Linked DNA regions of Oryzias latipes. The protein of the gene in region 4 interacts with the protein of the main gene of each other region in a pairwise test. Links are inferred from orthologs where the notes say so. Each region holds a gene or a part of one and is shown on either strand. Other genes may lie near its edges.

Region 1 (7,666 bases), on a different chromosome or scaffold from region 4:
ACTTTGAACCTTCCCTGGGGCACCTGAATAACCTGAGACAAAAAGCAGAGGACAAAAAGGAGTTGCATCAGTCAAAAGCTCAACCAACGTTGCACTGATGCAGATTTATTAAACCATCTGCCATTAGACTTACGTGAGTCTGGAGGTCAAAGTAAGCTCTCCTCTCTTCCATTCGCTCCCTGTTGAAGATGCTGTTAAACTCAGCAGCTTTTTTTGCAGCTTTCTTTATGTACTCAGGAACCTTGCTTGCCTCCACTTTCTGAGGGTTCTGCTGCTGCATTTGCTGCAAAAGCACAAGAGAGTACAACTATTTGTTCGTGCGTTTCGACAATTTCTAATAAAAACTAAAGGTTGTTCTAGTCTGGTGTTCTTACAGAGTACTCCTTAGCTATTCTCTGACGCTCCTTTTCCTGCAATATCACAGAGTACTCAGAGTGTTTGGTTGGATACTCCTTTATCATCAAGTCGATCACTTCATCGCTCCGCAAAGCTGTCAATCCTGCATATAAATACAACAGCACTACATTATGTAAGAAATATAAATAAATGTATGAAGTCTGTGCATTAACAAAGAGTTTTAGGGTTGGCTCGTACCCAGGGTGCACTGCGTCTCAGTGATAACATTTTGCTCACGTAGGTAGAGCTTTTCTTTGTGAGACAGGTCTCTCCTCTCCATATCTGCACAAGAATGTTAAAAAAAATTCCCTGGTCAAAACATAATTTGGGCAGTTGCTAAATCAACCGCACTTAAACATTTCCTTTCCTGATCATTTTGTGAATTATTGTTCAATTCTTACCAGGATATTTGCGTTTGAATGACGTGACACCCAAATACTCGCTGATTTGTTCTTGCAGCATGTAATATTCTCCTGTATCATCAGGAGGCCATTTATACTCTATTAGGTTTTCTGCTGGGAAATAAGTCACCCTAGATGAGGAGGTGGGGGCAGGAACAACACATTAGATTTATAAGTTGGTATCTGACGCAATTACTTAAGAATAATGGCAAATTGTAATGCAAAAACAAGTAGCCTACCCAAGCTCTTGGCTGAAGGTGTCACAGCTCCGAGAGCTGTCCCCTGAACCCATTCTCCTCCTTTTCGGTGGCTGGCTCCCATCATTAGATACCTCATCAATTACATCTTCCTACAGAAGTGGAAAAAAGATTCACCAACATTTTTTTTCAAACAGATGAACACCAAAATATATAGAATCGAAAAGCTTATTGTACGGAGCCCCTAAAGGGCCATTGATGAAAAAAAAAAAATGGAGGAAAAAATTTTTTTTTTGAAGTAAAAAAAAATTCTCTTGGAGTAAAAAAAATTCTTTTGGAGTAAAAAAAATTTTTTTTGAAGTAAATAGGAAAAAAAAAACTAACTGGTGCCCACCTGAAACTAACTGGTGCGCACCAGTTAGTTAGTTTCAGGTGCACACCAGTTAGTATCAGGTGCGCACCAGTTAGTTTCAGGTGCGCACCAGTTAGTATCAGGTGCGCACCAGTTAGTATCAGGTGCGCACCAGTTAGTATCAGGTGCGCACCAGTTAGTATCAGGTGCGCACCAGTTAGTATCAGGTGCGCACCAGTTAGTATCAGGTGCGCACCAGTTAGTTTCAGGTGCGCACCAGTTAGTATCAGGTGCGCACCAGTTAGTATCAGGTGCGCACCAGTTAGTTTCAGGTGCGCACCAGTTAGTTTCAGGTGCGCACCAGTTAGTATCAGGTGCCCACCAGTTAGTTTCAGGTGCGCACCAGTTAGTATCAGGTGCCCACCAGTTAGTTTCAGCTGCGCACCAATTAGTTTCAGGTGACATTATGACATTGTCAGTAATATTTCGTGTTTTCAGAAAGTTTATAAGGTCCATATCCTCAACTTTAGCCATTCTCAAGACAACTGTAGCTACTTGGTGCACAATGAGCAAGCAGGTCAACTATCTGATATCTTCTGATACTAACTGGTGCGCACCTGAAACTAACTGGTGCGCACCTGATACTAACTGGTGCGCACCTGAAACTAACTGGTGCGCACCAGTTAGTTTTTTTTCCTATTTACTTCAAAAAAAAAATTTTTAGCTCAAAGAATTTTTTTTTACTTCAAAAAAAAAAAATTTCCTCAAGTTTTTTTTTTTTTCATCAATGGCCCTTTAGGGGCTCCGTATTATTGTGAAAATGGGAACATGTGCAAAACTAGTTTGACTAGGATTACACAGGGAAAAAATTAGCAACACTTTATATTTAAATGGCTACACAATCTAGTTTTTTTTTATTTATATATTTTTTCAACGTTGCAAACTAATAGAGAAATACACGAATAATAGGAGCAAATTACTTCAAGAGGAAGTAATTTGAGCACATTTGAAAACAAATGATTTTGCTAAAAGTGGCTGACAGTTGTCCTAGTGAATGGAAACGTCCGTTGGCTAGCTAGCTATCTGTTAGCAAAACATCGTCATGTTTCCCCGTAAACAACAGCTAATGGATATTTATCAAAGTAGAAAAAAATCACCTTCATGGAGTGCGCCCCAGGAGTAGCGGGACTGCTATCACTTGGTGGTCTAATAATAGGGAATAATGTAGCCATTTTAAGATAAATAATGCCCACAGCTAGGCTAATGATTAGCGGGGGAAACTACGTTTCTTCTTCTTTGGACAACCACGGACTCGGTTGACGTTTGTGTAAATTCAGAGCGCCACCTCCTAGATCCTCCAAAAAATATGTTAAAAAGAGAGAATTTGTACACAACATGCAAACCAATTAATTTACATATAGATAAAACTCTCAGCGAAATGGGCTGTTTTTAAAATTTACTTAGAACGGCGAGAATTTATTTTTCATTAATTGAAACCATAAGAACATATCCAAACATCACCCCCACGCGGTAGTTTGAGGACTATGTGGCATAAGTGTCATTTCAGAATGCTTTTATTTTGAAGAAAAAAAACCCACACACACCGTACAGGAAGTTGGAGGAGGAAATCATAGAATCCAAGGAAATCACCAACAGGACTATTTCCATCACTTAGCAAGCTAAACAAATAACAGTTTCGCCTTTCTCTGCCTTGCAGCTTAGCTGACACACCGAGGATGTCGGAGTCTTACGGTAAGGAGGCTGTCTTGCTTTATACCCGTTAGAATCTCACACACAGATGGCAGGAAAGGGATGATGAGGTCCCTTCGTAAACAAATAGCTAGCTGGCAGGCTAACCGAGCCACTGAGGAGTAGGAAGGTTTTGGCCTTTAAACTCAAATGTCAGCGTTAATAAATCTGCCTTCCGGGTACAGGTGTATTAGTAAAGCTTTATAATGCAAGAAGCTGTGACTATAGGAGATGCTATTGTTCCCGGGATAAGCACTAGGACACAAAGCAAGAGACTCCCGCTTTTCTTTTGCAAACGCAAGTGATGATAGGATATCTCTGTGTTTTGTGAGGCATTGCTCAAATTACACTATGCTACAACTGTTCAATCAATTGAACCAACATTAAACATGATAATTATCTTAGTGGGAGTAAAGAATAAATATATATATATAAGGCTTTGTTCGATCTGTTTACGACACATTTGTCTTGATTTGTATAGTGTAGACATCAGATGTGTACATGTCAACAACTGTATCAAAAAAAAATTAAGAATAGTTGAGTTTATTAATAACAAGGCAGCATATTCAAACCCTGTTTGCTTTATCTATGTTACTACTGTGTTCCCTCTGCAGACTTTCTGTTTAAATTCCTAGTGATTGGAAATGCTGGAACAGGCAAATCCTGCCTTCTGCACCAGTTCATAGAAAAGAGATGTAAGTTTGCTTCAGTTGTAATCACTAGAAAAAGCTTTATAATAATGACACAGTAATTGCCCGACTCTTTTATTTAAATATCTTTAAGGTCCCACTCAAAGACAGTCGTTATTTGTGTGTTTTTAACATATTTTTGTGACATTTTGTTCTCATTATAATGGACATTTATGTAAAAATTAAGCCTAAAATTGCATCTCTGAGTATTTCTTTATTCAAATCACTGTGATTCAGGACCAGTTGCTTGTAGATGTGACATAGAAGCTACTATGGCGAGCTACAAGCTCCCTGCTCCGCTTCAATCCGATGCATCCACTTGTAAACAAATAGATCCATGAACGTCTTCATTTTCCTCGTGTGAGCTAACATCTAGCTTAAAACTGTACAGCTGAATAGCTCTAATATTGCTCGCCATTTTTGTTGCACCACTAATGTTGAGGGGGTGTGAGGGGCTGTAAGCTAGAGGAGTGTAAACAAAAGGAAGATGGGAAAGGTCCCAGTCCCGTCCACAACTCAAAGATTCATTTTTTAATAACCTACTGCCGCTCTGCAGATACTATGTCCAACACAACAAGAGTTTGTTTGCTTTTTTCAATTTTGGCTAAAACAGCATAAACATTATTTAAAAACTACTGAAAACGCTTTTACAATAGTTCAAAAGATGATCGGAGTGGGACTTTAAGCAAATCTTGATGAATATTTTTAGTTTGACTCTTATTTTTTAAACAGATTTTAGCAAAGCAGTCACAATCTTTATCAGATTAAAAAAGGGCATTTTATTTTTGTAAACAGTAGGTCATTTTAAGGTGTTGAAAATATATGACTTACATGTGATATTTATGATTTTCCAGTCAAAGATGAGTCCAACCACACAATTGGAGTGGAGTTTGGCTCCAAGATTATTAGTGTGGTGAACAAAATGGTCAAACTTCAGATTTGGGACACTGCAGGTCAAGAACGTTTCAGGTAGCTAAACATCTTTAAAAATTCCTTCTACATTGTGGATGTTGCGTTTTTAGAGATGTCGGCGGTGCACAGCTACAACTTTTTTTTTTCCATTTCTGTCTTAAATTGGCAATAATTACTAAATGGATTTGGTATGCATTTGCTTAAGTGTCAACAATGTTCCCTTTAACCAGTATATGTTTGTCAGGTCCGTCACCAGGAGCTACTACAGAGGAGCAGCAGGAGCTTTGCTGGTCTATGATATCACCAGGTAAGACGAGGTGCGTTATTCTTTTATTATGTATACTTTGACTGCTTAACCATTTGTTTTGTTGTTTTTGTGGCTTCAGTCGAGAAACCTACAACGCCTTAACCACGTGGTTAAGTGATGCTAGGATGCTGGCCAGTCAAAACATTGTAATTATCCTGTGTGGGAACAAAAAGGATCTAGATGCTGACAGAGAGGTCACGTTTCTGGAGGCGTCACGCTTCGCTCAGGAAAATGGTTCGATCTTAAGTTTATAATCCTTAGCTAAAAACTATACAGTTAACTTTCATTATACGTAATTACTCAATGGTTTACTGTTTAGCACTGACTGGCCATTAGTGTGGAATAATCATCAGCGGTTTTCATAGCGGCTGCTCTCATCCTTACTCTGTGTTTGTGGCAGAGTTAATGTTCCTGGAGACCAGCGCTCTCACAGGAGAGAATGTTGAAGAAGCCTTTGTCCAGTGTGCCCGGAAAATCCTGAATAAAATAGAGTCAGGTGAGGAGTTCTAATCTTTGCCCACATTTGTTAAACACAATTTCCAAATCCCTTCTTATCCTAATGGGATAGTCCAAGCTCAGGTGGAGCTCAGGGCTTCAGTGAGCTAGTCTGGAGTGTTGGACCAGCTGGTCCAAAAGTCTGTAGTGGGGATGAAACCTCTGTAGGTTGTTTTCTCTTTATCTCTATTAATCAGCACCATTTCTCTACTCTTAGGAGAGCTAGATCCAGAGAGGATGGGGTCAGGAATCCAATATGGGGACGCTGCGTTACGCCAGCTTCGTTCTCCTCGCCGTGCTCAGCCGCAGGGCACCCAGGAATGTGGCTGCTAGTGGACGTCCTGTTACATAGCCCTTTGAAGGTAAACGTGTTGCTGTGGGATCCCAGAGTGTCTCGGACCTCTGACATTTTTTTTGGAGTTAATTTTCAGGTACGGAAAGGGAGCCGATCGCCTCCTGTGGTTATGACAGTTGTGCTCAGTATAGCACAGAATTACACAGTCAGAGAAAATAGATAAATATTAGGATGAAATTTATGCAAGAAAACCAGGACTGATGACATTTATCTTACTATGTATATCAAATCCTAAAACAGTATTAAAATCTGCACTATGTTTTCATTGACAGCTGTTATCTACTGGATCAGTACAGAGCTGTATTCAGAGAAAAAAAATGGATCGGACCATTTATTGACATGAACTTGGATTTAGGCAACCAGTTACAGTTAGTCTGCAGTTTGTTTTTCTGAAACAATAGTTGTAGGTTATGTTGAATATCAACTTTGCAAAAAGTGTTGATGCACCTCAGTGTAATTCTTCCTGCAATGCTATTTACTATAGTATGTTTGTGTGTCTTTTTCTCCACGTTTGATTTTGTTTTGTTTTTGGAAACAAGTTTGTGAAGACCAGAAGAAGAGCAGCCACATAGAACCTCCACGAATGCAGATGCGGGGGGCTTGCCGTGCCGGTTACTCCACCTTCCTCCAACTTTTGCACGGACCCTTCAGAGCATCTGTTGTCATTTTTGCATGTGCGGAGAGCTGTGAAGACCCCGCCCCCAGCTAAGGAACCCAGAAGACCACACTCATCTTCAAAAACAGAAACATAATTTAAAGCTGGACCAAAATCTCTCTGGCTCTGTGGCGAGAAGGTTTCTCCTCAGACGTAGCTCCCTGCTTGTCACCTGCTCTCCAAGCCTGTTAGACTTTCCTCTATCTATTCATAAAGACGGTTCCTGTCAATCATATTTAAAGTAAAGGTAGTTCAATTCAAGGTAGTTCAATTAAAATAAAAAGTTGACAGTTTTCAAACACATACTTTTGACACTACTAGCACTTGCTATGGTTTGGTGCAAAGTTCATTAAATAAAAGATAATCTCCCTATTTTTAAGCATGAAATAAATCACCCAAATTACTAAAATTCCATTTTTTTCCCAACTAATAGCACTCCTTGTTTATCGCGCACCTGCTCTTCTTTACCCAAGTGAAGCTTCTCACTCCACACTGTGCAGCTATGGAAGCACATTTCATCAGCTAAGCTAACCCTAATTTGTTTATAGTCCTCATCCACTTCCTCTTCTCCCTGCAGAATGTTGTACAGTGCTGCTGTGACCGATGCATGCTTTTCAAGCAAATTATCAGAGTGTTTCATTATATAAAGAGATATTAAGGTGTCAATTAAATAGGTTTTCAGCTCTGCTCATTAAAATGTGGAGCTGTGCCTCACAGGAAAGCTGTGCTAGAACTTTGTATTTTCATGAATTTGGCAGTAACGCATTGCTTTATCAGAAAAAAAGAAAAAAAATAGAGTCCATGAGGGGACAGAATGCTGTCAGCTGTAGAGAGACTAAGAGTTGTATCATGAGATTTATCAGTTGTGCGTTTTGTTTTGTCAAATCTGGTCAAAAACAAAGAATTTTACTTTGGAGATTATATCACTTTACAACTCGTACACTAAACTGTTGCAGGTGCAGACATTTCAAAGGAAACAGACATTTTTCAATGCGAAATGCCTCCAGAGGTGTATCTGAGAGCAGCATAGTTTGTGTCACGTGAGGTTGTCGTCTTGTGTTTGTGTCATGAAGCCTCATTTCTAATGATCTGTGTGTGTGTTTTCTCCTTTCATTATAAATATCATATATTTTTAATTTATTGTGTATGACGAAAAGC
Region 2 (7,830 bases), about 17 Mb from region 4:
TAGTGTAATTCTGTTATTTTGTCTTCAAACTTGAAATGATAAATCACTGAAAAACAGATTATCTTTTCTTTTTGTGAGAGACAAAATGTAATTTGATTACAACAAACTCACCTTGGGTCAAAGCTGGGGGTGATGAGGGGCGTGGCTCCCATCAGGAGCGATGAGTCCAGCATGCTCCTAGCGGGAGTGACCAAAGGCTTCCTGCTGGACCTGAGCGATCCAAACAAAGGCCGTCAGCCTCCACAGAGAGGAGGAGGAGCTTCAGAGCAGGGATCTGGGACTCACCGCCGGATGGTGGTGCTCTGCTTGCTGACAGTCAGCGCCTTTGCCCTCTTTGACGTGGTCGGGGGCTTCTTCGCGGCTCTCCCCTAAATCACACAGGAGGAGTGTGAACTTCCCGTGTCGAGCAGCAGCGTTCTCTTGGCGTTAAAAGTGACAGCAGACTTTACCTTCCTGGTTGTGCTTGGCGTGTTTTCGTCCTCAAAGCTGGACTTGGCTCCGCCTTTCTTTCTCGTGGCTAGCGTGAACCAAACACAGACAAATCAGTGAGGAAGGTTTCGGTTTGGCTTTTGTTTTGAAAATGCTGCTCTCTACGTACTTTTCTTCACAGACTTCGGTAGATTGGCGTGGTCCTTGGCCACCACGCTCTCGACCACGGCGGCTTCCTCTTCTCTCTGCTGCGAAGGAGGCAGAGTTCCAGTGAGCGACAGAAAGGAGCTGATTGACAGCAGAAGGAGAAGAGACTCACCCTGACGCTGTCCACCTCTGGAGTCTTGGGTTTCTCCATTTCTGCAGAGACACAGTATAACAGGTGAGAAGATCTGAAACTCGCATCACTTTTCGCTTAGAGGTCAAAGGGCGTGGACCTACTGTAGAAGTCCATCCACTTCATCTGCCGCACGGCCATGGGCAGCTTGATCAGAGCCATGTTGTAGCTGTTGTCGATGTCCTTCAGAAGGTGGTTGATCTTTTCCTTCATCTGAACGACTCTGGTATTCACTGAGACAGAAACAACCAAGTTTATGTTTTCATTCTTGGCTTTTGATTCAAACTCCTGCAGGGTTTGATTCGCTGGGTTTAAGAGCTCAGGCGAGCTCCATCCTGCTAACCAATCAAATCAATTCAGCTGACAAAAGCAACCATTGTTTCTCGATGCCCGCCATTTCCAAATAAGGAAGTGCTCTGAGCAAGGTGGTGGCAGAGTCATGATATGGGCCTGAATCAATGAAGGAGCAGGAAAAAGGCCAAAGAAAAGCTAAAATCCATCTTTAAATTGTATATTAATTAATGTGTACTGTAATGCAAGCCTAATCTGTGATAATTATGAGAAATAAATGAAAAACTGTTTAATAAATGGACTAACATTGATAAGTTTAACATTTTAATGTTACGTGATACGAGTATATATTGATAGTTTTCATTTGCCTCAAGTGTTATATAAGTGGAATTTGTTGATGTTTTTGACAAATGAAATTTTACTAGAAAAAAAATTATATGTGGAAGATCCATTCTGATGAAAAGGGCGTATTTAACATGTTCATTTTTCTGATGATGGAGGACATAAGTAAAGAAATAAGGCTTAAATAGCATTTCTTCGTATTTAATTTTTTCAAGCTATTAAAAAATGCTAAGCTTTAAAAGATGCATATTTAATGAGTTTTGATATCAAAATTTAGATTGTTTTTTTATAGCACTTTTTCCATCCACTTCTTTATGATCCGGTTTATTGCATCATTTCGAAGGAGCAGAACTTCCTTTTTTACGTATAATTATCTTTTTAGCAACAAAACAAAAAACACAAACAGGAAATAAGCGATCAGTAAATTTACAAACAAATTCTAACTAGTTTTTGAGCACATTTTTTTATTAGTGCATGAAATTGCACATATAAGGAGAGGAACTCTTGTAGGGTCTTTCATGAAAAAAAACCTGCAATTTCCAAATGATAATAACAAATTATAACAGCTAAATGAAGTTATTTTTTGTTTTCTTTGGATTGTCTTGAAGACTCATTCATCCAGGTTGATTCCATCATAGTAGTAGGTTTAGGGGCTGTCATCTAGACTTAGTTTTTAAAGTTAGAAGATGTTTCACCCCTTATCCAAGAGGCTTTGTCAATTCTGAATTAGCTGGTAAGAGCTGGCATATATATATATATATATATATATATATATATATATATATATATATATATATATATATATATATATATATATATATATATATATCCCCAACCTGGTCAGCTCTTTCAGCTGTTACTGACAAAGGTTGAACAGGTTCGGTTTGTTGGGTTTCAGAACACTTTATTTCAGACAACAAACTGTAGGCCGAGCCTTTACTTAAGCCGAACTAGCATTGTCGTTTACCTTCGCTGTCGAAATCCTCCAAAAAAACTTCCAGTTTTTCAATTTTCTGGTTGTTCTTTCGCTGCTTCGTGGTCCTTTTCCTGGGCGCCATGTCCGCTCAGAACTTCACAAACAGGAGAAAACTGTGAAACGTTGTTTTCGAGATGGAAAAAAATAAGCCGCCGAGGACGTTAGCAGCTATGTTGTTAGCTTTGGAATCGGCAGGAGTTTATCCGGCAGATTAATTTACTCCCGTTTTCATTCTTTGGTCTCACTTATGATATAAATGTTTTTAGATTCAATTCGTCTGAGTTTGAAGCGGGTTTTCTTACAAAGGTAACAGTTGTGTGGGTTTCCCTCTGGCCTGCCTTCTTCGCGAAGTCGTTTTCAAATGTCCGCGCGAGGCGGAGCCAAGACACAAATCCAGCCAATCAGGACGTGGATTGAGCCCCGTCATCAGGGTTCGGCACTGCGAATGTTCAATGCTGCGTTCGAAGACAACTCGGGAAAAAATGAATCGTCCCCTGATGGAAAGCGTTTCAGTAAGAATCAAAAAAAGCATTTTTGTAAAACAGCTGAAGGGCAGGAAATACTAAAAATAGTCACCAAGTAAAAAGTTTTTTTAACTCACAATTACAATTTACCCAATTTAACCAAGATAAATAGCAACTTCCTACAGACATGCCTGTGATTATAAATATAAAAAAAAGTTCTCAAAAAGTCCAGAAGCATTAACAAAACCAGTGGGAAAATATATCAATAAAATGTATGTATGTGTGTATGTAGATTTAAAAAGGAGAGCACGAAAAAATACAATTTTCCGAAATCAAGTGCCTTTTTTGAGGAGCTACTGTATTTATGGGGCACCGTATCTCCAAGGATCAGTAAAGGCAGCATATGTCACTACTTGACACCGGAAGCGCTTTCTGGTTCTGCGCAGAAAAGTAGTGCAGAATTTTGCTGAGGCTTTCAGACTTGGTCAGAACTATATTTACAGTCCCATCCAAGCCAGAGCGGAGGCCGAGGGCATGTCTGACATCTCCCGACCGACGCTCAGCGCCCTCCACCAGGCGTTCAGGAACAGCTTCGCCGCGCTGGAGAGCAACCAGCGGCTGTGGGGGAGCGAGCTAGCGGAGTGCAGCCCTCTCCTGGGGTCTCTGGGGAACCTAGCGGAGCAGATGAGAGCTCTCTCTAACGTGCGGGTCTCCAGCACGCCGCTCGGAACCTTCCCGAAGCTGGAGGAGCGGCTGCGCTTCAAACTGCAGGAGGCCGCGGACACGGTGCTGGAGAAACTCAACGAGAAGATGTGAGACACGCGACAACTCCACACACACGCGCCTCTCGGATGACGTCATCACAGGGACTCCTGTGACGTTGAAAAGACTATTAGCTCTGTTTTTTGTGACAGCATAAAAAAAGTTTGTTTCAAAATAAGAGCTCCTGTAGTACAGATACTAGCACCAAACCATATATTACAATTTCCGTTTAAAGAAAATATTAAAGATAAAACCCCAAATCAAAATAAGCCACATAAGACCTTTACCAGAAACTAGAACCATCATTAAGCTACGTTCACACCGCCCTCAGCGATGCGCGTTCAAGAAACCACCAATAAAAAAAATGTAAATTTGCATTTTGGTTTAAACTCTTGAAGTTTCTACGATAATTTCTGAGCTCTGTATGTACAAAAAGTGCATCTATTAAATGTACCTTAAAAGTTAAACCAGGTCGAACTTTGACCAATTAGGGACTCAGATTTGGTAGTGACGCATGGATGGCACCCCTTTAAATTTACGGAAACACCAACCGTTTGAAAGTTGACCATGGAGGACAAATTAATGATTTTGATTTGATTCCAGTCGGAATATATGACACTAAATCTTTCATATATTGGACTAGAGATGCGAAAAGAAAAAGCCTGGAGTCAGATATACAAGAGATTTGCACCACTTTGACATTTCGCACCAAGACTCTGCCAACTGTAGGTGGAAGACAAGTCATGGTCAATTGTAGAAGAAGGAGAAGCCCCAACCCACTAGCACTGTGTGAACACTATGGGTTAACATGTTCTGGAACGCGTGTCTTTTTTTTTCTTTTTTTTTTTAAATGGTTTATTTCAACCAATCAAATAAGAACAATACACAACAACAATACAATCATCAGTTATACATTCATACAATGACGAATCAAACTTAGGATATTTAGACATATTAATAAATATTGCTTGAAAGGGAGTGGAAGGAAGCGAACGTATATAATCCCACCCCGTTATACCGTGTCATATGCCAGGTGTGTCCATAGCAGAGACAGTGCTGATGCATTCAGGGACATCATGGTTTTTTCTTCTGCTCCTCATTCACAGCAATTTGAATAAAGACATTTTCAGATTGCCAATTTTAAGCATACTTTTCTTTATGTATGTCCTCGATCATCAGAAAAAGGCCGCAAAAACTTGTCAAAACAGATAAAAACATGATTTTTATCAGTCTTCAAGGGCTTCCTTGTCCGAGGACTAAGACAGACTCCTTTCCTTCTCAGGTGTCGTCTGCAGTCTGCCAGAGACGCCATCAGTAACCAGGTGAGGTCCGTCATGCAGCTGTATGAGCAGAACGCCACCAGTTTGGACCTGCAGGCCGTCACAGAGCGCTCCGCCGTCACCCCGTCAGTCGCAGACATGCTGGAGTGGCTTCAGGACGCCGAGCGCCACTACAGGCAGCAGTATCCTTCCTGTCTGTGCTGTTGGTACGGTCCGCAGCATTCATGGACGGCAAGGACCGGATTGTTTTTGCAATTCTTTTTTTCTGAGAGCGAAACGGCAAATGCTAAAATATTTACCAAGATCTGCACAGACCCGGTACCCGCTGCATAGGAAGGCTTGACATAGTCCACCCCCTACACACACAAACAAACAAACTAACAAATAAAATAAAATAAACATTCCAGTGGGAGAAACCATCACAAAAATGAATGGGGCAAAGATCTCTAATGGGGTTCAAAAAATATATTTCAAATCCTTCAATCAAAGCCAAAACGGAGGATATCCATAGAAAACTTTAAAATTATGATTATGATCATGCCCTCCAGGGCAAAACAAAAGTTGGCGGCGAGGGCGGGGAATGGTAGAGCCAGCAGTCTGTTTTTTTGTTTCTGTCTTCTGCTCTCCTGAGCTCATGTTCAGATTCCTGCAGAGGAAAGTTCTGCTGCAAACGCTCAGACCCAACGACCTCGCTCTGCTGGAATCCCTTCCTGAGAGGTGGAAGTCCCTGGAGTCTCCTGACGGCGAGCAGCGAATCACAGGTAACATTAACTGTCCGAAGCTTGAAACGCGAGCTCCGCCAACTCTGAGATGTGGGACTCTTGTCTCCTGCAGAAACACTTTGCAGAGTGTCATTTTTCCTGGAGCTGGAGTGAAGACGGAGGAGCAGAACTGGAACCAGAACCTTCTGAGCAGGACAGAAGTCAATGATGCAGACACGGAGAGGAAGACGAGGGATTTGAAGACACTTCATCAAATCGTCTTTATTGTCTACTGAACACAGTCGGGTTCACTGCAGTTGCAACACCACACACGTCAGAGAGGACAACTGCAGCCAATCACAGCGCAGCGGCGCCCAAAGTCACACCTGGCGGGGATCCTCCTGCTACACGTACTCCCTCATGGGGAGGCTGCTGGAGGTGATGGGTTTGGGAGGATCGGGAGCGGAGGCGGGGGAGTTGGCAAAGCTCCGTCCCATGTAGCCCCTGCGGTACCGACCGCCCCGCTCCATAAGTGGGCAGGTGCTGCTCAGCACGGCGCCGCTGATTATCAGGATGACGGCGGCGGCCCAGCCCAGGTAGATGGCCTGGCCCAGCTCTCGCTTGTGCATGATGGGGACATTGGGGTTGTAGAAATCCCGCACCACCGTGTTGGCAGTCCAGGAAATGGGGATCAGAACGCAAAGGCCTGTGACGATGAAGAGGATGCCGCCCGCCAGCGCAATGCCTGCCTTGGCACGGCGGTCATCGCCGGCGCAGGTGGTGCACTTCATGCCGCAGCAGGACACTGTGCAAGACAGCCAGCCCATGAAGATGGCGAGGCACATGAGGGCCCGCGCCGCCTGGATGTCTGGCGGCAGCGCCAGCATGGAGTCGTATGTTTTGCATTGCATGTGACCCGTGGTCTGGTAGATGCAGTTCATCCAGATGCCCTCCCACTTGATCTCCGAGGTCAGGATGTTGTTGCCGATGAAGGCCGACACCTTCCACTGTGGCAGCGCTGTGACGGCGATCGCCATGATCCATCCGGTCACGGCGCAGGTGAAGCTGATCAGTTGCATGCCCGTGTTCACCATGGTGAGGGCGCCGCCTGGATCTTCTCCTTTGAAGTTCTCCTACCTGAAGCTTGTGGGTTTATCGCTGTATTTTTCTCGGCGCCGTTTGTGTCCTACAAACTCGTGGCGTTAGCGTTCATCTCGTCTTTTTCTTCTACTCGGCATCCGTCGCTCTGTCCACCGTTCAGCACTTTCAAAAGAACGTTAAAGGAACTTTCTCCTCGTGATGCATTATTGAGAGGCTGAGCAGCCGCTGCGGGGGTCTCATAGGAAGGCCCGTGGCTCTGATCTGGACCGCTGTGGCGCTGCTCGGCTCTGTCACTCTGCAGTTTTGGTGTTTTCTTTCTAGATCAGGCTGGCAGAACCTGATATAGAAGGCTGCCACCGTATCCCGTCACAGTCCAGCGTTTTGAGTAGCATCCAGTGGCGCCAATCCCAACCAAACCAATGAAGTGCCCCCCCCACCTCCCCTCACGGTAGCGAAGCCACCTCAGATGTTTGAAGAGGGTCGGTTCTGGTGGTGGAGTCGGCAGCGGGTCAGAGCCATGAGGTCGGAGCTGGGAACAGAGAGAATCTGCATCAATGCCGTCTGCAGCAGCCGCTGGTGAACCTGTGAAAACAAAGGATGGAGGGGGCAGTGTGCGTGTGCATTTATGTGTGTGTGTGTGTGTGTGTGTGTGTGTGTGAATGGATCAGCTAACACAAAGATGAGCCAGGAGGCCTCTTCACTGGGATTACACTCCAAAACACAAACCTGCGTTTTTAACGGAGCGCTCACAAGAAGTCAGCAGGCGCTTTTTTTTCGCAGCTGCAGTCAACAACACGGCCTCACAGCCAGGCGCCACGCAAACCTTTTTTATTTTATTATATTTATTTTTTTACTTCAAATGCTGAGGTCAGGCGGCACAAGGAGCGACGTTCTGCGAGCCCGCTCAATCCCTGGAACTACAATGAATTAAACATCGTGACCTCGAGATCCGAGGCTCGTGTTTCCCCGTCTTCTGTTGCCGCCCGTGTCCTTGGTAACGGTGGTCATGGCAACCGCTGCAGGACGCGGGAGTTCAGACAAAGGGTGGAAGGTGAAGGTGACTGTCACAGATCGCTTTGTGACTTCCTGGAGTAAACAATGCAGTTGAAATATGAGGAAAAAATCAGACACACAGTCTCAGACTAAC
Region 3 (6,882 bases), on a different chromosome or scaffold from region 4:
CTGCCGTTCACAAACATGTGGCCAGAGCACACGCCGCCGAAGTGCAGCAGCTGGCGCAGACGGCGTTCCAGGCTTCGCTGAGCCAGCTGGCAGAGGAAGAGCAAACACAGCGGCTGAACGGACGCGAGGCAGAAGAAGCGGACGTTTCTGTGTGGATCCCTGACGTTAGCCACGTCCCAGCGGAGCTGCTGAAAAAGTAGATCAGGGTGTCACGTCTGCCGCAGACGCGATGGGAAACACTCCTGACGTGTTCTCGTTCTCCTGCAGCGGTCCCGGCAAGGTTCTCCTTTACTACCGCTACTGCGAGGTGGAGGATCCGCACGTCATCTGCGCCTGGCAGAAAGCTCTGTGTGAGAGGCTGCAGTTAACGGGGAAGGTGACCACAAACTCCTCCGTAGGATCCACGAGGAGAAGCTCTGTTCTGAAGTGGAAGCTCTCTGCAGGTGAGGGTGGCGGCAGAAGGAATCAACGGGACGGTTGGTGGAACCGCCGTGGCCACGGATCTCTACACCAGGGCCATGATGTCACACCCCCTCTTCCAGATGGACCGAGAAGATTTTAAGGTAAAGTTTCTGAGATGCTTTTCATCTGTGGCTACATCAGGATTAAGACACTGGACTACAAATAGACTTTTTAAACGGTTGTATGATTGTTGATGGAACCAAACAGCAAAAAGAACACATTTAAAAAAAAAAAAAGAACTGTTTTCCATTTAAAGAAACCGATCTGTAGTAAGAAAACAATGAAGTGTAAAAAAAAAGAATTAAATTATCTTAAAATTATGCATAGCTACAAACCACATTGAAATTAGTTTCTCTTAAGCAAAAATATCTATATGTATATTTATAAAACTTGGGATAAACTGTCATGAATTGATCGGAAAATGAAAATATTAAAAAGTAAAGATGAAGAAATCCACACAGATATATATAGATTTATATACACTTCCATATATAAATACATACACGTGTAAATGATGCCATTTTTATTACTCTCAGACATATTTTAAATCCGTTAAATATTACGTTTGTCAAAAGGACTTTTATGTGTTGGAAAAAGAGTGGGAGGAAGCCAATGTATAGAATTCTGTCTCTACTGTCATCATAGTCATCATAATCCATAATCTTGTTGTCAGAGATATTTATACTTCACCTGTCCAAGTGCAGATTAATGAACAAAATGATCCTAGTATGTAAACTTTGAGTCAAAAGGGGACATTGGGTTTGTGGGGTACGCGTCACCTCTGTGGGGTTCTACCTAGGTTCTGCTGGGCAAACGGCACCAACACCTGAGAGCTTGGAGGCGTTCATGAGATAGAAATACATCCAGATAAATGGAAATGGCTCAAAATGATGACATGTTTGTGAACAAAAATGAATCCTAAACATGTTGGTTAATCAGAAACAACCTTCAAACTGGTTCCATTCATGTTTTTTAAATGTATTTCCTGGTTTTGTGCGTTGAGATCAGTGACGGCGGTGCCGAGTGTTTTCCAGAACTGAAGGTCGGCGTTTACCAGGAAATCGTTCCGATGGGAGTCGATCCGGATGTGGTTTCCTACCAGCTGGCAGGTGAAGGTCCTCTTCACGGATGCTGCTGCTGCTGCTGTAACATAAAAAAGTGTAAAACTCTCCATCTCTTTGCTTTCTCAGGACTTCATCTGGATCCGGAGGACTTCCACAAAGAAGTGGAGGCTCTTTTAGGGGAAGGGGATTCCTCTAACGACACCCTTCTTCTGGACTGCCGTAACTTTTACGAGAGCAAAATAGTGAGTTGCATTTTCCGTCTGTTTTTTTTTTTGTAACTTCTGAGTAAATCAGGGTTGTAGGTTTTTAACAGTTTGAGAAAATGCTGCAATACATGTCAGATCCTGCAAAATCAAGTCAAAACGTTTTACAAAACACAATTCCAAAAAAAACATAAAAAGTTCCAGAAAACAAAAGTAATTTCCATGAATCAAAACTTAATTCAATGTTATTTATATAAACCAGTATTACAACCGTAGTCGTCTCAATGGGCTTCATCCCGGCATTTGTAAAGTAAATATGAAATCAGTCATAGAGTTCCATAGGTAATGCTAAACTAAACTAAACAGACGGAGCTAAACCTCAGTAAGGAGTTGACATGTTAAAGAAAAGGTAGGTATTATGGGATATCACTGATTGGATGATGACCTCTGAGTTTTAAGGAAGAGGGAAAGCAGAGGGTTGTGGTTTTGGTGGATGAACCACTCGCTGCCAACTATGCGTGCTTTTTTTTCCTTTTCTTTTTTTTTACAACATACACAATCAAAACAACAACACGTGATAACGGGTGCCCACATCTAGTTTTTGTTTTTAAGTGAAAAACAGTTCATTTCCTTATGCTGAGTTGTGACACAATAAACTAACAGGCAGAAAATTGGGGCGAACCACTGCAGAGGGGTGCCAAGTCTGTCATAAGGGACATCACTTTGTTTGTTTTTAAGGGATTATTTGGTTTATGTTAAACTATGTGGTAGATTATGGTCAATATTTGCTTTATTTTCAGTTAAAGTCATAAATGAATAATAAAAAGGTTAAATGTTTGTTTCCCTCCTTCCCTGCTTGTTTATTGTGTGGATTTGTCCAGAGTGTTAACCAGGAAGGTTTTTTTAGAATGGTTTAGTCCGCTTTGTGTCAAATTCATTTGGTTATGGGTTTTTTTTAAGGGGGGGGGGATTTTTCTTTTTTATAAGAACAAATAATTTCTTTTTATCCATTAAAAAAAGAATAAAACAGCTTCTAAGCAAAGCAACCTTTTTCCTGCTGACTGACGGTGGACCCTCGCTGTGGTCAAGAGTGGATCGATCAATCACTGAACTATTCTAGTGGGCGTGGCCAGAAGCTTACAGAAGTATCGTTTCTAGGAAGATTTTTTTTTCCAATAAACTTTATTAACAAATATTGCACATACAAAATATCAAACATTGTCACTCCACACTAAATAACATTTTCGCATTTGACAATGAAAATGAACAAAAATCTCAAAAAAGCCATAATAATAGCAAAAAAAAACCAGAAAATAATAATCAAAAATAAATTAGGTAAAGGATTCTGCTAAAGTCTAAAAAAATGACTGTGTTTCAACTGTTCTAACAGGTTTTTTGTTTGTACAGGATTCAAAACTATTTACATATGGAATCATTTCTTTCTGAAAAATGTAAAACACTGTTCTTTTGTTAACATATATTTACATTTATATCACCACGCCAAATAACTTTCTGTTGAAAAGGTGAACAAACGTCCTCATCCAATCAGTGATATCCCATGATACCTACCTTGTTCAGTTTCTTTATTTTGTTTTTTTATTTCTGGAAGTTCCTCTTGTTTTCCGATACTTTTCCTTTTTATTTCATTTAGTCTCTAAAATCTAAATAGTTCGTTGTTGTGATCCCTAATTTGTTTTGCTGTTGATTTTTTTTTAATGTCTTTTGAGCTGCTGGGCCACCGAACTACAGACTCATGAACCGAACTTTTGGGGTTTTCTTTTCCTTGCAGGGACAATTCACTCGATGTTTGGCTCCAAACATCCGCAAGTTCAGCTATTTCCCCGACTACGTCGACCAGAACCTGGAACTCTTCAGAGACAAGAAGGTTCTGATGTACTGCACAGGAGGGATACGCTGCGAGCGCGCCTCGGCGTACCTGCGCTCAAAGGTGAGCTCTGTTCTTTTTCTTCCTGCGTTTCCATGGAAACATGTCAGCGCTCAGCTCTGCGCTCTCTGCAGGATGTGTGCAGGGAGGTCTACCAGCTGAAAGGTGGAATCCACAAATATCTGGAACGGTTCCCCGAAGGGTTCTACCGCGGGAAGCTGTTCGTGTTCGACGAGCGCTACGCCATCTCCTCCAACGACGACGTCATCTCAGGTCTGTGTGTGAGGGGGACTTTTCAGGGGGCGGGGCCAAACGTTCGCGGCTCAACCGGCGCTTGTGTTCAGACTGCAGCTTCTGCGGACGCCCGTGGGACCGGTACGAGCTCTGCAGCACCCGCTTCTGCTGCCAGCTGGTGCTGTCCTGCCCCGCCTGCAGACGGCAGGGTCACACCGCCTGCTGCTCCACCTGCCAGGCCAAAGGACGCGCTCAGGGCGGCGCCAACGGCCCGCATCACAAAGAAGAGTGCGAGTGCACCGAGAGACGACCCAGAATTCCCCAAGATGTCTGACCTCAGTCATTTGACTTTGATCTAAATTCTATTTATCAGCTGTCAAATATTATTTTTCTGTCAAAGTAAATGTTTTTAACCTTTTATCAACTCCTATGAGAAAGAAAAAAAGCATTTTGTGCATTTGAACCTGTGGCTATTGTGAAAAGCACTTTCACATTAAAAGCATCCATCTGTAATGTTGCTTTACACAATAAAAGCCATAAAAACAACCATAAATGCTGCGTGGAAGTGTGGTAGTAATTTACTGCAAAGGGGATTAAAAAAAGATGGAAACACGTTTCTGCTCTAATGAGGTGAATGAAGGAGATTGTGAAGGATTTCCAGACAAAATTTTAATTGATGGTAAAAAAATATAAAAAATTGTCTCTGGATTTTCTGTCTATGACTCAATTTCAAAGATGTCACCTAGACGCATTCATATTGTATGTCATGTTGTTTTGTCCAGCTTGAGCCGATGATCATTATAACAAATCTTTTAAAATATTTCAGTGGAAAAATGTGCAAGCAACAGGGAAACACCTCTTTTGTGAGTGCGCTACGCAAGAAAAGGCCGACAACTTTTAAAACCAAGTAGCTTCCCAGTGATGCTCGAGGAGTTAGAAGCCAATCGATCGAAATCCCTTGGAGGAGTTCAAATCTGTAGAAGGTGGAAAATTCAAGATGCCGGCCTCTTCCTGAGGTCAAAGGTTAACGAAACTTTGGTTTTGGTTGTTTTGTATCCTCCGTTTCAAAATGTCGTAAGAATTATTTTTGGAAATCTTCGTGTTGTAACAGTCGGACTGATTGAATGAATCATGTTGCCACAGGTTTTACAGTGAATGAGGGGGTCTGACCCCCGAAACAGACAGGAGCATTGTTTTGTTTTTTATCAGCTCCTTTAAGGTTAAAGTGCAGTTGCTCCATAACTGATGTTTGGACTCTCCTGGATTTGAGGGGGAAATGTAAGAAAATGGCTAGAAAGCAAATTTCATTTTGAACAAAGAAATGGAAGTTTTGGGGTTTGTTTTTGTTCTTTCAAATAAATCATTATCAGCAAAAATATTAATAAAGTCTGTTTACTAAAAGCATCTATTTGAAAAGAGGGTGTTGTTTCATGTTGAGACCAACAGTGAACAGAGCAGAACTTGCAGACGACATTCCAAGAATAAAATGCACCGCAAAAGAAAAATAGGAATAATAAAGACAAACAATATCTATGATTAAAAACAATATACATAAGGATAGGACTAGAAATGTGTTTATGTTATTGTATTTATTTTTTAAAGTTTTATTAAAAATACATTAATATAGGACTAATTAAATGTTAATTTAATTATTGTTTAAAGTTTTATTGATCTACTTTAAACTTAGGTGAATGTATTTGTTTGTGTGTCTTGCGATCGTTCCCACAGTACCTGAACGCACCTCAGTGATTCGCGCGAGGAGCTTTGCAGTTACACGTCATGTCCACTAGAGGGAGCGCCAATTCCGGAGCCCACTGACAGCTAAGCTCCTTCAACATCCCGACTGGAGGCTTCAGCTCAGCCGAGCGGACCTGGCCAGGCTGCCCGGGTCTTCGCGGGCCACCTGCAGCCTCTTTTGCCGCAGTTTGGACTCGGCGGTGACGGACAAGCGTTTGGCCGCAGATGTGCGCGTCCTCCCCCGTGAGGGCATAGGCACGGGAGCATGTCTGCGCCCGGATACACCAACCGGAGCAGCTCCGCCAGCTTCGGCCAGAACTCTCCGGCGAACGGCGGAGCGGCGCCCCCCTTCCATAACGGTGAGACAGGCCGGATCATGGTGCGCTTCTGCCTGCCCGCTGGGGGGTTAGCATGTTCACCTGGAAGTTGATTGTCACTGGTTAATATTTTTAAATTATATTCCTTAAGCTGCTCTGTTGCCCTGGTAACATTATCTACACACGGCTAGCAAACTGGAGGGAAGTGGGGAGTTTATGCTAACCGGATGCTAACTGTGGCTTAAGCTAACCCAAAGGGATCAGGGGCTAACACAAGCTAGCAGGAGTTAGCAAGCCAGATTGCGCATTTGATCTTTCTCTTTCGGCTTTTCCCATCAGGGGTCGCCACAGCGAATCATCCTTTTCCACCTCACTCTATCATGGACATCTTCTACCCTAACATTAGCCAACTTCATGTCCTCTGTTAAGACATCCATGTATCTCCTCTTTGGCCGTCCTCTTGCCCTCCTGCCAGGCAGCTCCATCTCCAACATCCTTCTACCAATATATCCACTATCCCTCCTCTGAACATGTCCAAACCATCTCAGTCTGGCTTCTCTGACTTTGTCGCTAACACAGGCAACATGAGCCGTCCCTCTGATGTACTCGTTCCTTATCCTGTCTAACCTGGTCACTCCTAAGGAGAACCTCAACATCTTCATCTCTGCTACCTCCATCTCAGCCTCTTGTCTCTGTCTCACTGCTACTGTCTCTAACCCATAGAGCAGAGCTGGTCTCACCACTGTCTTGTACACCTTTCCTTTGAGTCTTGCTGGCACTTTTCTGTCACACAACACTCCTGACACTTTCCTCCAACCGCTCCAACCTGCCTGCACTCGCCTCTTCACCTCTTTTCCACACTCCCCATCACACTGAACTGTTGACCCCAAGTACTTAAACTCCTGCACCTTCTTCACCTCAGCCCCCTGTAACCTAACGCTTCTACCTTGATCCCTCTCGTTCAGACACATGTATTCTGT
Region 4 (6,868 bases):
ACATTCCCCAACGAGAGGACCAACACGCTGCTGGGACAGTTGCTGGTTGCAGACTTTTTACATTTCCTACTCCCAAACAAAATATCCTTCCCACCGATGGACTCATTTCCTGTTTATCAATCAAATCATCAAATCATCAACAAGTTTAATTTTTTTTGTTTCTTTTTTAGGTTGAGGTAGAAAATTTTGTGCTAAAGATGGCAGCAGAATTTCCTTCGAGAAAAGACCAGCTCATCTTCCTCATCAACAACTACGACATGATGCTGAGTGTCTTAATGGTGAGATGTTACGGCAGATATGGAAAAAGGAACAAACATGAGAATGATTTATGTGTTTCTGTGTGACATCTCAGACCTCAGCTTATCTCCAGAAACTCATCTGTAAATCTAAATTCGACAGCAACTTTTTAATTTTTGAATTTCATAATCATTTGTTGTTATGGCTTGGCTTGGCCAGGAGAGGGCAGCAGACGACAGCAAAGAGGTTGAAGGTTTCCAGCAGCTGCTCCTGGCCAGAACACAGGTCTGTGGTTGTTGGTTCAATCAAAAAACCTTAAGTTAAACGAAATCTAATGTTTTAATGGTGTCAAAACGTTTGTATAGACACAGCCATTGAATAAACTATTTCACTTATTGTGTAATTTCTATGTTATTGTTGATAACAAATTTGAAATCCACTGTAGATTTTAAATTAGACAGTTTACCGAATTCTTCGTTACTAATATCCTCCTCCAGGAGTTCATTGAGGAGATCCTGTCTCCTCCCTTTGGTGGGATGATCGCCTTCGTCAAGGAGGCGGAGGCACTGATGGAAAAAGGGCAGCTGGACCGTCTGAAGAACGAGGAAGGTGAGGAAACAGAGGAAGACCTCAGGCAAGAAGCTTGATTAAATTACACATGCAGGAAGCTACCTTCGGTTATGCCCCATTTGATGGCTAGGGGGAGGTAGGAGCACAACATTAAAGGCAAGTGTTTGCCCCGAATTACATTAATAACACCAAAAGATTGTTTCCGTACAAAAATAACAGATTTACTAACAAAAGAATAAATACCAAACAAAGATAACTTTAAAAGGCTTCAGGGTGAACCAAGGCGAAAATAACAAACATAACCCCGCCTAACTGAAATCTGAAATCTTACCTGTAAATGAAAGAAAAGATAAAGCAATGACAAAAAACACTAAAGTATGTAAGAAGTTTTTTTACACCAAGTTAAACATTAGTTTTTGTTTTCTTGATACAAAGGTTAACATTTTAACATGGGACTCAATGGGAAATTGCTCCTTGCTCAGATCTGCCTCTAGTGGTCAGTTGAAGAATTGCAGCATTTTACTGCAAAAACAATTTGGTCAAAGAAAATTAAAACAACTAATTAGCAAAGTTGAAAAAGTACATTAATTTGTGGAAAGTAATACAAAGATTGGAGACTAAGAACCATCATTCATCAGTAAATACAGAGAGCAGCACTGTTGTCTGTAATGATAGAAGAGGGGGGGGCACCGATGCTGTTTAGCATAAAGGGGAAGTTTTTGTTTCAAAGCAAACTGGTAAATATTAATAAATATACACACGGAAAAGGGAATCTTGCAGCCCACAGTGGAGGGTTTAGTCAAAAACTAGCAAGTGACTGCTGAAGGTCATGGGGTTACAGCTCGGGTTGTGCAACAAGCATCTGTATTTTGTTCCTTGTGGGGGAGCAGCTATGCAGATCAGAGGCCTGATCCCACGCCGGATCAGGCACACTGCACCCAGAATGAAAGTTTCCGTAAAAGACGGCGTCTCTTTTCACACAATTTGTTTACTCCGAGTCAAATTTCATATCGATCCATTTTCATCTCATTTCCACAGCTTTTTCTTTTTTTTTGTAGCAGTTTATGTAAAAAGAAAAAGCATCAAGCTACCAGAGGTGGAGCGGGTGGATGGTCTGCAGATAGGACGACCTTTGGGATCTCCGTGTAGATCCACTGTTTCTGCTTCTTGGTGACGTGCTGAAGCTTCTTAGGCTGCATCTGGATGTCAAAACACACTAATGAGCGAGCGGCTTGTCTCACTGCCAGCATTGTGGTGTGTAGATAAGAATCCTCAACCTCCAGTTTGCCACAAAAAAGGGTGACTGGTCTATTTGAGGTCAGGAAATGATCAGTCGGCAACCATTCATACCTTTATTTAGCACATGTGACCGCTCTGAGCATGCACAGCTTTTCTGACAGAGTTCATCTTCACTTTGTGGTCCTCAGCAGTTCAGTTGTGTGAAGCCTTAGGCACACGTGTCAACAGAGGGATGATGGGAAATCCGGGCAGCACAGGCATTAGTCTGTGTGAGCTAAGCGCACGTATGGAAGACCATGTCTTCATGTGTTTGGCATTGATGATGATGATGATGATGATGATGATGATGATGATGATGATGATGATGATGATGATGATGATGACTGTGGGAAAAGGTTTTTGAACTCTGCTCACGCAAAAAGGTTCATGAAAAATGAAAAAACGTGGGAATTTCAGCTCTAAGAAAAGGAAAAACTACTGATAAAAGTTTTCCTTATGAAAATAAAGATACATATGATTTGTTTTTTTATTTAAAGTGTCTTTTTTAAACATATTGTAGTCATTGGGGAAATCATTTCTTTTGGAATTTGCCCTTTAGTGTGTTTAAAGGTTTGGCTTTTAATCTGGGAACAGAACACTGAACTCTGTTTTTGGTCCGTTTAAAATGTCCCCATATTTATTATTGATTGTGGCCTGAGCGCATTTCATATCCACTTCTGTGGCCGATCCTCGGCTTGTGTCACTTTCATTTACAGGTTCAGTTTTGTTTTACGGAGTAACCGTCCACTCATAGTTTAGTTTGCTCTGCTGAATCGTCTCCTCATAACTTTCATTTCCTTCCTCTTGTGTCTCGTTCTCCGCCTGCTGCCTCTTCTTTCTTGTCTCTGGACAGTCGTTTTTTTCCGCTCTAAGCGCGTGTGAAACCACACACACCACAGTGACTTTGAACGTGTGTCTGCAGCTCGAATCACCCAGCTGGTCCGCGGCTTCTCAAGTACGTGGAAGCAGTCGGTGGAGTCCATGAGTCAAGACGTCATGAGGTCCTTCACCAACTTCAAAAACGGAACCAGCATCATACAGGTGAGCCAGCGGCCAGGTGTGGCACTAAAACACCTCGACTGACCTCCTGATTGCGTTGAGATCATGAACCGGACTGAGGGACCCCTCCCCCTTTGGCGCTGATCCCATAGACTTCTATAGAGAAATAAACAGCTTTTACTCTATTTGTCAGACTAACCGTTCTTGCTCTGCTACTTTTTTTAAAATAGCTTATCTTGTTTTTTCGTCCAAATTCAAGTAAATAAACGACCAATCAGAAGCTTCGATGACGGTGTGTCCAGCGTTCAAAACTGATTTCCCTTGTTTTCAATGGTTCCATCAAGCTCCCTTGGTGAGAGGGATTGCCATGGAAACCACTCGGACCAATCATGCAACATTTTTAAAGAAGTTGATTGAGTCTGCATCCCAAAATCCCCGATAACTTCTATCCTCCCTCATGTTGTCCTGTTCTGTACCAAATGCAGCATCTGATTCATGTGGGTTTGTCCTAATCGAATCAATTCTCCTCATCGTCACGTGGGATTTTCAAATCTCTGTTCTGGTTTTGTTTGGGGTGGGTGACGGAGAACGGTTCCTAACCCAGGGGGCGCCACAGATCCTGTCACGTTTAGCCTGCGTTTTGAGAAGTGTTCTTTAAAAGACTTTGAGGAAATGAAACTCCACTTTCCTAAAACCTTCCTGGTAGGATTTGGTGTTTTTATCGTCACCTTTAAAACCAGAATGTGAGTCTGTGGGTACTTTCATGTAAAATGATGTTTACTAGACATAAAATAATCTAAATTAACCTATTTGTATGAAAAAAAAATGATGCAGAGATATTTAAATATGTTTAAATGAAAAAAAACACATTCATTTTAGTTCACCTTCAAAAGTTCAAATCATCCGGAAAAAGTTCAAAGAAAGAGAAGTTTCTGTCCCTTCAAACTATAAAATGAAATGACATAACATTCACAGCTCTTGACTTTTCCCCACAATTTAACGTTACGCCTTTTTCCAAAATGGATCAAATTCATTTAAAATAATAAAACGCCACAGTGTTCGAACCAAGAGCACTTTGAAGCATGTATTCATCCAGAATGTCCCTTCATTGCTGCAGTTATCTTTTCCTCTGTCCTGACTAGTTCTCCAGTTCCTGCTGCTGAAAAACATCCCCTCAGCATGATGCTGCCGCCACCATGCTTCTCTGTAGGGACAGTATCGGCTTAGTGACGAGCGGCGCCTGGTTTTGCTTGGCACTGTCTCCAAGTCAATGTCTAATTGCAAAAAAACAGAAACACAAATGATAGAAAACCGATAATAACCCCGTCATGGTGTCCTCTAGAAAGAGAAAACCTCAAAATAGAGCCCCGTTTGGGAAAAAACATCTCGCTCTTCGTCTTCCCCTGCAGGGCGCTCTCACTCAGCTGATCCAGTACTACCACGGTTTCCACAAGGTCCTGAACCAGCCCACGTTCCGCAGCCTGGCCGTCCGATCGGAGCTCATCAACCTGCACCACCTGATGGTGGAGGTGAAGAAGCACAAGCCCAACTTTTAGCTCTTCTCCATCAGACGGAAACCCTCGTCCACATGTTGAGCCTAAAGGAGCCGTCTTCGTGTTTGGGATTTGTGAGATTATTGGCGAGTCTCCTTAACTGTTTTTTTTAATGCTTTAGTAAAGCATTCAATCTATTCCTTCTGATGCAATCCTTGTTTTCTACGCTGCTGATGTGTTTGTTCATAATGCAGCTTGTGTTTTCTCATTTGTCCATGTGTGTCATTTATGATGTTTGTGTATCGCCACCAGGACTTTCTCATGTGCACCAAGAATCTGTTGAGGTGAAAACAATAAAAAGCAGAAATGAAGGCATCACGTTTAGTTTTATTTGGACTAAGAATATTTTAAAAAGTTTTTGTTGTCTATTCAGTAAAAGAGACAATTTTAAATGCAAAAATCAGGTTTATTGTTTTTTATAAAACAAAAATATCAGTTAAAGCTTATTAATGCTCATTAAAGTGCCTGTTTCCAGTTACATTTATCATTATTTTCAGTAAACTTTAGGTTTTTGTTTTTGTTTTTTTAACTCAGTCAGATGTTCAGATTTGTTACCATGACGTTTCTAAAAAATCATTTAATTCTTTACAGGAACACTCAAAAGAACTCATTTTTAACAGTCCTACAGTGAAGTTCTGGCTTTTATCTGGGACTCACAATGATCCGGTTTAGTCTTGTTAAGAACTTCCATCAATTCTTGTTCATTATGTCGATAAATACTTGGTTGACATCCAGGAAAATCAATCAAACGAGTTTCTTAAAAACGTTCTGGTTCTGCTCAGTTCAGAGGAAATTCAGCCGGTCGTTCGACTTAATTTAAGCGCCGTCATCTTTGCGTTTGAAGCACAGCAGAAGGGAATAGCTTCAGGAATCACAAAATCAAATGTCATATGCTACCACACACACATGAAAATAAAATAAATGCATTAAAAATTAAAACCCCTTGATTGAAAATGTTATTTTTTACACAAGATATAAACAAGTTTTACATGTTCATTCGGAGAAACCCTCATTTATTAGAATTTTTAAAGTTAATGTCTTTTCCTAATTGAGAGTCTAAAATCCTCTGGATCATCTGATGATTTATAAATGATTTGCAAATCTTTTACATCATCATATCGAACAATCTCTTATGTCAGTGTAAAAGCTGTGGAAATGACAATAAATGATTCTGATTTGCCACAAAAAAATATTGATTTACCCTTTTAGTGTTTGGATCAAGTTCCCTTATTTATATAATTTACAATTTCTCTCAACTAATTACTGGGTGTTGAAAATAGTGTACTATCTGGTGATCTTTTTTTAATTAAACTAGAAGTTTTTATACAGATTTACAATTTTTTGTGATTAAAAGATAGAAAAAGAGCCTTGAAAATCAAAATAGTCAAATTTTTAACAATTTGTCCCAACCTGTACTAGTGACCGTCTACGCCTCTTCTAAAAAGACCAGCTTCTTAACCTCAACACATCTTTATTTACACTTGCAGTTTTGGTAACAAGATGTATGAAATGAGCCTCAAACAAGATGAAGAATCTGAACAGTGAAGAAGAGAACAGCGGAGACGAAAACACGCGAGCTGCTGCTTTGAGCGGTCCCACCTTGGAAAGGAAGAAAAGAAAAAAAACAGGCTTGAAACCTTAAAACAAGCAATTAGATCTGCATAAATGTTTTCTTCAATTGCCGTTTTTTTTATTTTATTTCCAATAGGTGTGCAGATAAATGTAGATTAAATTATGGCATCTCCTTTTAATCTGATTACATCTTGAGATACATGATATTCAAAACCATTTTAAAATAATTGCATTCAAAACTTATAAAATGGATTTTCACAAACCATATTAACATGTTTTTTCACATCAATTTTCTTAAAATAACTGGTAAATAGAAATTTAAACTCTTCTGTTTTCTTTCCCTCACATCTTTTAATTTCAAATGTTAAAAGTGCTTCTCAAATGATTTCTCACCTGTTTGTGAAGTTTGTGACATTCGTAGTTTGTCGTGTTCTATGTCTGTAGGGGCAAAAAAAAGAACCACTTAATTTTTTTAAATGCCTGAATTTTTTTAATTCAATGTTTGTACGCATTCCTAGATGAAAACGTCTTAGTTTAGCAGAGATTTTAGTCGTTCATAATGTTTTCTACCAAACTTGTGTCATCAAAAACTATGACGGTTTGACAGATTCAGACTTCATAAGGGTCGAAGATGCAAACTTTGCAGACGATGTAACTCT

Evidence for each region.
Region 1: the proteins of vps52 (region 4) and rab4a interact in binary tests that used the Homo sapiens proteins (3 or more experiments, as listed by UniProt). The two-hybrid records come from large-scale screens. The link is inferred for Oryzias latipes from reciprocal best matches to the Homo sapiens genes VPS52 and RAB4A.
Region 2: the proteins of vps52 (region 4) and c11h1orf109 interact in binary tests that used the Homo sapiens proteins (3 or more experiments, as listed by UniProt). The two-hybrid records come from large-scale screens. The link is inferred for Oryzias latipes from reciprocal best matches to the Homo sapiens genes VPS52 and AIRIM.
Region 3: the proteins of vps52 (region 4) and tstd2 interact in binary tests that used the Homo sapiens proteins (3 or more experiments, as listed by UniProt). The two-hybrid records come from large-scale screens. The link is inferred for Oryzias latipes from reciprocal best matches to the Homo sapiens genes VPS52 and TSTD2.

Annotation. Positions count from the first base shown.
Region 1 is NC_019861.2:24,496,079-24,503,744, forward strand, and holds rab4a (ras-related protein Rab-4A), read left to right. Parts: upstream 1-2,948; 5' UTR 2,949-3,082; coding exon 3,083-3,098; intron 3,099-3,709; coding exon 3,710-3,790; intron 3,791-4,638; coding exon 4,639-4,753; intron 4,754-4,940; coding exon 4,941-5,003; intron 5,004-5,082; coding exon 5,083-5,237; intron 5,238-5,403; coding exon 5,404-5,499; intron 5,500-5,715; coding exon 5,716-5,831; 3' UTR 5,832-5,860; intron 5,861-6,392; 3' UTR 6,393-6,405; downstream 6,406-7,666. Other genes in the region: phf10 (PHD finger protein 10), read right to left, coding at 1-32, 134-283, 375-499, 595-678, 798-928, 1,037-1,146, 2,504-2,578. UniProt on the Homo sapiens protein: The small GTPases Rab are key regulators of intracellular membrane trafficking, from the formation of transport vesicles to their fusion with membranes.
Region 2 is NC_019869.2:20,073,730-20,081,559, reverse strand, and holds c11h1orf109 (uncharacterized protein C1orf109 homolog), read left to right. Parts: upstream 1-2,954; 5' UTR 2,955-3,373; coding exon 3,374-3,651; intron 3,652-4,883; coding exon 4,884-5,063; intron 5,064-5,523; coding exon 5,524-5,642; intron 5,643-5,715; coding exon 5,716-5,756; 3' UTR 5,757-5,986; downstream 5,987-7,830. Other genes in the region: cdca8 (borealin), read right to left, coding at 112-210, 286-368, 450-517, 599-677, 749-789, 871-999, 2,367-2,457; claudin-4-like, read right to left, coding at 5,987-6,676. UniProt on the Homo sapiens protein: Part of the 55LCC heterohexameric ATPase complex which is chromatin-associated and promotes replisome proteostasis to maintain replication fork progression and genome stability.
Region 3 is NC_019868.2:27,743,829-27,750,710, reverse strand, and holds the end of tstd2 (thiosulfate sulfurtransferase/rhodanese-like domain-containing protein 2), read left to right. Parts: coding exon 1-196; intron 197-267; coding exon 268-376; intron 377-443; coding exon 444-563; intron 564-1,465; coding exon 1,466-1,571; intron 1,572-1,652; coding exon 1,653-1,768; intron 1,769-3,518; coding exon 3,519-3,677; intron 3,678-3,748; coding exon 3,749-3,887; intron 3,888-3,958; coding exon 3,959-4,182; 3' UTR 4,183-4,401; downstream 4,402-6,882. Other genes in the region: protein transport protein Sec24B, read left to right, coding at 5,851-5,944.
Region 4 is NC_019869.2:3,214,864-3,221,731, reverse strand, and holds the end of vps52 (vacuolar protein sorting-associated protein 52 homolog), read left to right. Parts: coding exon 1-45; intron 46-170; coding exon 171-278; intron 279-456; coding exon 457-522; intron 523-734; coding exon 735-846; intron 847-3,007; coding exon 3,008-3,126; intron 3,127-4,493; coding exon 4,494-4,640; 3' UTR 4,641-4,952; downstream 4,953-6,868. Other genes in the region: uncharacterized protein LOC101166061, read right to left, coding at 6,154-6,236, 6,603-6,647. UniProt on the Homo sapiens protein: Acts as a component of the GARP complex that is involved in retrograde transport from early and late endosomes to the trans-Golgi network (TGN).